Arabidopsis thaliana: one gene and its partner. The protein of the gene in region 2 interacts with the protein of the main gene of each other region in a pairwise test. Each region holds a gene or a part of one and is shown on either strand. Other genes may lie near its edges.

Region 1 (4,215 bases), 5.6 Mb from region 2:
GTGCCGAGTATATAGACGGGACAAAGACTAGGACGACGAAGAGAACATTTATAACCGAAGACATTGTGTATTTCACGAGACTCGTATCGATTTGTGAAAGAAATATTGTTTGTAAAATATGGAAACGGAATTGAAATGTAAAGAGATGTCTATGAGGTAGACTTCTTTATTGAATTGTTATCGGTGAAATATAGAAGCATGTACGTGTGGTTGGAGTTTGGCTTTTGTTATGTTCTTTTTATTTCAGTGATTGGTCTATATTTAGTTTGTTTTTACTTTCATTTTTCATTAGAAACGTTTTCTAACACTAATTCATTATAAAATCGATTGGCTTCTAGGTTAATTAAACCACAAACATGGAATGCATGCTAATTGGGGAAATGTGAAGGTGATTAATCACTCAATTGATTTGTTTTGTATTACTACTCCTGTTTTTGAAAGAATTTTGGAATGGTGATTAATCAACTAAAGCATCTACAGAAAACATTATTGATGGTTAGAGATATGAAAATTTAAATTGATAGGCTAAACATACAAGCAAACTTTTACTTAATCTAATGTTGCTCTTGATTTGAAATATAAACAAAAACAAAATTAAGAAAAATGTTGACTTCTGAGTTCTGACCACTAAAATCATGCAACTGCTTGACAATGGACATGCCATCCATCTTATATCAATTTGTTGCTTACCTTGCCACCACATTTCTAGATTTTTATGTCATCTTGTTGACATTTATTAGTATATAAATTCCTACCATTCTTTCTGACCAACATATGCTAGAACCAAATTATTTGTTGTTAGATATCAATTTTCGCTAACGTGTTACTGTTTATAAAGTATTAAATCATGCCTATATATATTATTATGTTTCATACTCCTCCAAACATTTTGATAAGCTTGATTTTCTTTTTATATATAGTTCAATTTTTGTAATCTCATGTATACGCTATGGCAATGTGTACTGATGACGAAACATTATGTACCTATATGTATCATGTGGTAAGTAGAACATTGTTTGTTTGCTAGAATATGTATGTCGCTTATCGTTTTGAAAAAGACTCACCAGCATATATATAATATGCAACTGTGAAGCATAATATCAATGAGGAAACGTGAAGTGCACCAAGGGATAATCTAATTTGATACCTTTTATTTGAAGAATATATGACGTCCGATCCATTAATGCTTTATATGCATCTAGCCATCGACATGGATCTAGACCTTTCAATAATTGACGACTCCTCCGTTTTCTTTTTATAATATCAAAAATTGGGACATTGGTTATATTGGAAGAGTGGTGAAGGATTTATCCTATACATCAAACCTAGATATGAATCCCAACCAACTATGGACCGCTATTGTTCTCTCTTTGTTTTTTTTTTTTGCTATGAAACTATGGACCGCTATTGTTAGCTTTTTATTTAGTTATTGTAAACATCTTAAATGAAAAAAAAAAAGAAATACTCGGTTCACTATATGCATCATGTAATAATAATCTAGGTTTTGGCCCAAGATCTATCTAAGTTATAATTAAAACGAAAAAAAAAAACAAAAAAAAAAAATTGAAAAAGAAAATTGTTAGGTAGCTAAAACCCTCAGGTACTACAAGATTAACGAATACATCTACAGATTATTCATCTGGAACATGCAAATATGTGATGTATCGACTGATCTAAAATGGATTAGTTTGGTTGAAAGACGGTTTGGTTTAGTTAGGTTGGAAGGGTCTTTGGGAAGAGTGTTACATCGTTCACATCTTTTAATTTTGATTCAGTCTCTAAATTATACTATATAGTCTATATTGCAACTGAAGAATGATTGAAAGAGTACTAGTACTAAGGAAAAAAATAGAAGTAGATGCAAAAAAAAAATGGTAACATTAGTGTGAATCATGCATATAATGTTGAAAGCTTTAAAAAGACCCACAAGTCTTTGTACCCTTTCGTCCCCCTCCCCTCTAAAACCTCATCTTCCCCATTTATTTCTCCCATTCTTTCTCCTTTTCTTTTTCAGTTCTTAATTCATACTTGAAAAAATCAATACATTTTCATCATCATCAGCATCATCATTTCCCATATACACAAACACACATGCATGCCCTTATTATCTGATAATGAACGCATAGGTCTCTTCTCTGATAGCTCAATGGCGATTCAAGCTCAGCATCCTTCACGTTTCTTCTTCAACAACAGGTAAAAATCTTCATATAATCATATAGTAATAGTATACGCCCTGTGTATTTATTATGTATGTGATGTTTTCAATTTCTTATGAAAATTTATTGAACAGTAACGGACAAGAAGCTAGTGATTGTTCGTTGCAGCCTCAAGACACTCCTTTCACTAATTTCACCAAAGCTGGTCTCTCTTCTCATTATTCCCATATCGTTTCCAAATTTTTTCCTTCAATTCCATTCAATCATCACCGTTTTTGAAACAGGGGTTGATTCAAGAAAACGATCAAGAGAAGTTTATTCATCGGCTCTGATGAACCCTCCACCTCCAAAACCGTCGCAAGTTATTGATATAACCGAGTTGTTGCAGAAAACGCCTAACGTGGTTTCCACTGGTCTTCGATTATTTCATGATCAGTCACAGAATCAACAACAGTTTTTTTCTTCTCTTCCCGGAGATGTTACCGGAAAGATTAAACGGCAAAGAGATGAACTAGACAGATTCATTCAGACTCAGGTGTCTTATTAAACTCGACCTAAAATGTGGTTTGGTTTGTTTTTTCTTTGTGTTGATAATTTGATTTTGCAGGGTGAAGAGTTGCGGCGTACGTTAGCGGATAACAGAGAGAGACGCTACGTAGAGTTATTGTGCGCTGCGGAGGAGATAGTCGGACGGAAATTGAGAAAAAAAGAAGCGGAGTTGGAGAAAGCCACGCGCCGTCACGCTGAGCTAGAAGCGCGTGTAGCTCACATCGTGGAAGAGGCGCGAAACTGGCAGTTAAGAGCGGCGACGCGGGAAGCTGAGGTGTCCTCGTTACATGCTCATCTCCAACAAGCCATAGCTAACCGCCTAGATACGGCGGCGAAACAGAGTACGTTCGGAGAAGACGGCGGAGACGCGGAAGAAGCAGAGGACGCTGAATCGGTTTACGTGGATCCGGAGCGGATCGAATTGATCGGACCAAGTTGTAGGATTTGCCGGCGGAAATCTGCGACGGTGATGGCATTGCCGTGTCAACATTTGATTCTTTGTAATGGATGCGACGTCGGAGCAGTGCGAGTCTGTCCGATTTGCCTCGCCGTGAAGACTTCCGGTGTCGAAGTTTTATTTTGATGATGATGAGTATTTAATTGATAGGCCCGTTATAGGCCCATGGGTCCATCCAGATCTAAGCAACAAACAAGACAACAGTACAGAAAAAGGACGTTTTCTATAGGCAAAAATAAAGATTGAAAATGAGATTTGAATTATATATAGTTGATGATGTACATAGGACATAGCCACATGTAGTGGCATTTTTTTCGTTTTGACATCTTCGTTTACTTTCTTTCTTTTGGATATTCTTCGCTTTTTTTTTCAGAAAACGTTTTGAAGAAATTGCTAAAATTGAATTCATTTACGTTAGAAATCTTACTATATTATTTGGGAAGTACATTTTAAATGTAACCTTACTTTTTGTAAATAATTACATAGGTATACCATTAGAAATAAAATTTTAAAGAGTAAATTAATTTATCTGTTTAAGGATTAAAAAGTCAAATACTAATTTAATTAATTAAATTTAATTAAAAAACGAAATACATTTTTAATTTCCAAAAACAATAACCAATCAAAATCAACATATAAGATTTGATATCTAAATTTTAATTAATTTAATTTAATTAGAAAAACGAAATACATTATTAATTTCCAAAAAAATAAACAATTAAAATTAACAAATTAGATTTGATATCTAAATTATCATATTAATTTTTTATTAATTATTATAGTTCACTTCTCATCTTTATATGATTCTATTTTTGCGAAAAAATAATATCATCATTATAAAAAAATAATTAGAGTTTTTTCGCATATGCCATAATTTGAATTTTTAAAAACGAATATAAACTGTTCAATACATGAAAAATATTATAACGGGTGAAAATAGATTTAAGAAAACTTTCTACTGAGTTAACAGGTCATAATTTGAAATATTTATATTCAATTTTATACATATTATATTAAAAAATTATAATCTTATATACTACAATAATTAATAAG
Region 2 (4,622 bases):
CTTCCTTTTCTCATTTTTCTTTGTTCTTTTCGAAAAGAAAAAAAAAATGATTTATTTTATTGCCATTTTAATGTCGATGCGAAAATGCAAGATCGGGTCTGTGGCTGGATGGATTGCAGATTTGGATTTAATTTTTTTATCTCAATGGTTTGTTTGTGATGACAAAAAAAATAAGAAAGGAAAGGTGGGACCCAAAAACTGAGTTGTGTGGGGAAAGGGTATGTGAAAAATATGTAAAGATTCCCCAAATTAAAATTCTCTCGCAAAATTATAAATTTGGCATAATGCTGAAATTAAAAGAATAAATTTTTAAAAATAGGCAAAATTACTTTAGGGTTCGTCTTTTTCGTTTTGCTTTTTTTTCCCTTGTTAGGTAGAAAATCTTCCTATGCTCTCATCAATTATGATGTTCGTAGAGTATTGCAAAGGAACCAACAAAAAAAAACTGACGTGGCTCAATGGTTTTGCTAAGCTTGACCAATGAACAATTGACGACTGTGTACCGCCGTTAATAGGTAAAGGCAAGTTGCTACATTGTGGATGAGTAAAAAAGAGTTTCTGTCATTAATGATTATATATCTTACCTTATGTTTCTTTTATAGAAGAATCTCTAAATGCAGCAGATTTATGACTAAGAAATTTTTTAGAATTCAAGCCCCAGCTGTCCAGCCTTGAAGAGATATATACATGGGCCTTAAATCGGGCTAAGGTGGGCTGTCTAATTGTGAGAGAACATTATATCTTATACAACTTGGACCAAACAAGTGGCATACGGTATATGATATTGAGATAATGACACCCTTAGCAAGAAATATCAATTACCCACCTAAACAATAATAACATCCATTGCTATTAAACCCATTGTAATGATGATAATTGAGATAGCACAATATCAACTTATCAACTTAGAGAAAGTCACTTTCAACTTCTGATATCAAATTGGCATTAGTGATTTGTTTATACGCTGGACTAGAGATTATATCAATTTGTCAATGTCTTTGCCTGTCACACACACACACATATCAAAACTGTCGCTCTTACATCGGGAAACATCTGTGCAAGTTATTTTTTTGTGCGCCATATTCTCCGAGTTGTTTGAGATTACAGAATTGCTAATCAATAATACAACTCAACATATACTAGTCACAAATTCCATAATTTTCCAAGGTACAATTCATTGAGATCATTTGCGTAAACCCATCGTATGTTCATTTGTTTATGGTTTTATTGGGTCAACCATCTTATTTAATCTCATGTGATGTGTATCAAATGTCCAAATACTGAACTTTAAACGCCAAAGATAAAACTTAAATTCGATAATATTAAAGATAGAGAAGTACAGAGAATTGTAGTACAAACGGTTACATGGAAACCTTAAGATTCATCTAACCAGTAATTACATCTCTTTACTTTGACTTAACCTAGACGACACGGAAACAAACGAAGAACCTTAAGGAAAAACAGAAAGATACCCAAACGAAGAAGAAACCCCAAATAAAACTTAAACTTGATAAACTAAAAAGATAGAGAAATACAGAGAATTGAAAAACCGAAGAAGATTACATCAAAACCTAAGCTTCATCTTTACCCGTAAACACATCTCTATAACTTGTCTTACGACCAACTAATCCACTTAAGACACAGACGAAATGACAAAAGCCAACCTATGATTTACCCAGAGAACCTGACGATTAAGCAGAAATTAAAAACCCGAAGATACAGAGAAAGATACGAAAACTAGTAAAAAGTCTATACACAAATACTCCTACACAAACACTAAACCCTAAGAAGAGAAACTAAGACCTGTTAAGAAGATATTTCGATCTTGCCCCTTGAAAAAATAAGGGAAGATTCGAAACGGTTCATAACGAAGATGTGTGTTTCTTCATCTTCTAGATTCATCATCGTCTGGAGATTATATTTTGTTGCAGATCTCCGGTTTTCAGGCGGAATCGGACGATCGGTAATACGGAAATGTAACACTTTGGTAACCATTTGGATCATCGGAGATTTTTAAAAAATCAAAAATGATCGGTGACAGACACCGTCAGGCGATGTCTAGGCGAAGGATCCTGATGAGATCATTTGTTGCCTTCTTCGTGAAGAAAGCTGGAAGCGGGACATCGCTAGGAGGCGGCGAGGTCATGGTCACAGGACCGGCGTAAAACGGTGCTGATTTCGATTTGCGGCCAGATAAACGGATCTGACCCGGAATCAAACCCGGATCTGGTCCAATCCGACGAGTAGATCCCAGATCTGACATTTCCACAACCAGATCTGAAGTCTCCTTGGGGATTTCTTCGCCGCGCTTAAGGATTCTCACCTGGCTAACGGCAACGGTATTGCTAAGACTCTTCTTAAGGGTTCCCTTTGGAACGAAAGCAGAGACAGCCGCACGAGGAGGAGGAAGCGGCGGCGCTACAGGAGGAGAAGAAGATCTGGAGGATTGACTACGAGGAGGACTCCGGCGTGTACGGTTGTTGGAGACCGTCTTCTTCTGCCTGTTGGGACATGCGCTAGGATTACGATGTTGTTTCATGTGAGAGAATGGATCTTTCAAGCAATCCTGGGGATTTAGAACAGCGACGCCCATAGCTAATTGAGAAAGGCAGATTTGGTGGTTCAGAAACAGAAGAAGAAGAAGAAATTTGTTAAATTATCTCTCAGAAAAAATTCTCAACGGCTCGGAAATGGAAAGATAAATTAGAAAGATGGAAATGAATATAATGAGAAGGTGGAAGAAGGATAGTTTTATACACGATTAAATTTGCTTCAGCGTGTCCAAGAACAGCTTAAGACGGTTTCTTAACCGACTCTCGGCTTCTGGTTTGTGAACTACACGCGCTTAGTTGTCTCTTCCTTTTTTGTTTTTTGTTTAGCTTTTTTTTTTTTTTTTTTTTCCTTTAACTTTATAATTACTTTCCTTGATATGTTAATCAATGGATCAATACTATGGTTGTGAATAAGATATATGTCACATAAATTCTGTATTCTTTTCTTTTTTATTCTCATCACATATGTGTGTTATCATTCAATAAGAAGCTTTACATTTTTCATTTCCTATACCATTTCAAAAAATTAAAAGTATTCAAATATGTGATATTCTGTGTGATGTATGATTACAATCTCCAAATTCAAAAGTTCAAAGGTAATTTGTCAAAATTAAAGGCCAGAGATTAAAATTTAAACCTAATATCTTACATCTATAAGTACAATTGAAAGCATTAAATTACTTTATAAAAAATAGAAAAAAAGCTATGCATATTTTAAAGCATTAGATAACTTTATAAACATATATAATTTGAAGAGGACATATGGCTGCTGATCCCAAAACTCTACTTCTTACACTGAGGACTATTTCAATATTTTGAATAAGAAATGGTATATCACCCCCTACACAAAAATGAAGTCACATCAAAGGTTATTGTGCAGATGTTTGTAATTGTTGACAAACAAAATGATTAACACTAAATAATTAAGCCAAGTTGTCAATAATAATACGAAATAATTGAATTAAAAAAAGCTACTTTGCCGAACAGTATCCAAGCAACAAAATCCTCCATTACGCATTTGTCGCTTTCATGATCACATACGTTAAACATTAAAATAATACCCCATTAGGCATAATATATCTCGCCCTTTGGCTTTGAGTAAGCTTTACATTATTCCCATACATTGTACATCCATAATAATATGATATTGAAACGCTAATTTTAAATTTGTATTTATGTATATAAATCCAATCTTTATATCTAATTAACGAGAGGTAAAAGACTATTAAACATTGAGAAACCCAAAGATCCTAACGATTATGTCGATAAACATATTGATACGACCTTGCAAATATGTAACAGGTTCGTATAAGTGTTTCTAATGACAAAAGGAAATAGATATTCTTAAGGTGGAGTAGAATATATGTGTTGGGAATAGGTAAATGACAACAACTTTTGAAAGAAGTGGTCGACCACAATAATAATAATAATTTATTTAAATTTAGGTGTAATAATAAATGTGAAAGAGGCGCGTGAGAAAGAAGTGGTTTATAGGGTGAGAGAGGAGGAACCCACGACGATCCTTACCAAAACCTCAGCTACGCGTTTATGGGTCCCACTCTCTGTCTCATCTTTTTCTTCGCCCTTCCATTATTAACATATTCCTTACAAACAAACCCTTCGTGTTCCTTTCTATTTACTCTATTGCCACCCCCACTCGTCTATCTTCTTTGACCACGGATATTTCTCAAGTTTGTTTCACTTGTTCATCTTCTTTGTATTTTTTTTTCTCGCCAACTAGTATTAAATTACTAATAATAAGAATCACTAAAGCTATTTGGTCAATTAAAAATAAATTGATGCTTTTGATGCCCTTTCTGTGTATTTTGGGCATAAACTAATTAAAATTATATTCATATATCTAGTGATTAGTGCAAAAAACGTAATACTAATATAAATATTGTAAAATTATGAATTTAAGGAGGGCATTTGTGTTATTTTTCAATAATATGTAGTGTATTCATAAATGAAACCAACAAAGAAAAATGGGACAAAAAAAAACGCCTAGTTATTGGTTTTGGGAAGAGGTAGGGGCATTAGGTAATAAATTTTCTTTATTGAGAAGAAATA

Evidence for each region.
Region 1: the proteins of AT4G32020 (region 2) and AT4G17680 interact in a two-hybrid assay, tested with the Arabidopsis thaliana proteins (one large-scale study listed by BioGRID).

What each region holds. Positions count from the first base shown.
Region 1 is NC_003075.7:9,841,976-9,846,190, reverse strand, and holds AT4G17680 (SBP (S-ribonuclease binding protein) family protein), read left to right. Parts: upstream 1-1,856; 5' UTR 1,857-2,095; coding exon 2,096-2,193; intron 2,194-2,290; coding exon 2,291-2,361; exon of another isoform or gene 2,362-2,440; coding exon 2,441-2,691; exon of another isoform or gene 2,692-2,715; coding exon of another isoform or gene 2,716-2,763; coding exon 2,764-3,288; 3' UTR 3,289-3,581; downstream 3,582-4,215. Other genes in the region: AT4G17690 (Peroxidase superfamily protein), read right to left, coding at 1-64.
Region 2 is NC_003075.7:15,486,047-15,490,668, reverse strand, and holds AT4G32020 (serine/arginine repetitive matrix-like protein), read right to left. Parts: upstream 2,756-4,622; 5' UTR 2,594-2,755; coding exon 2,048-2,593; 3' UTR 621-2,047; downstream 1-620.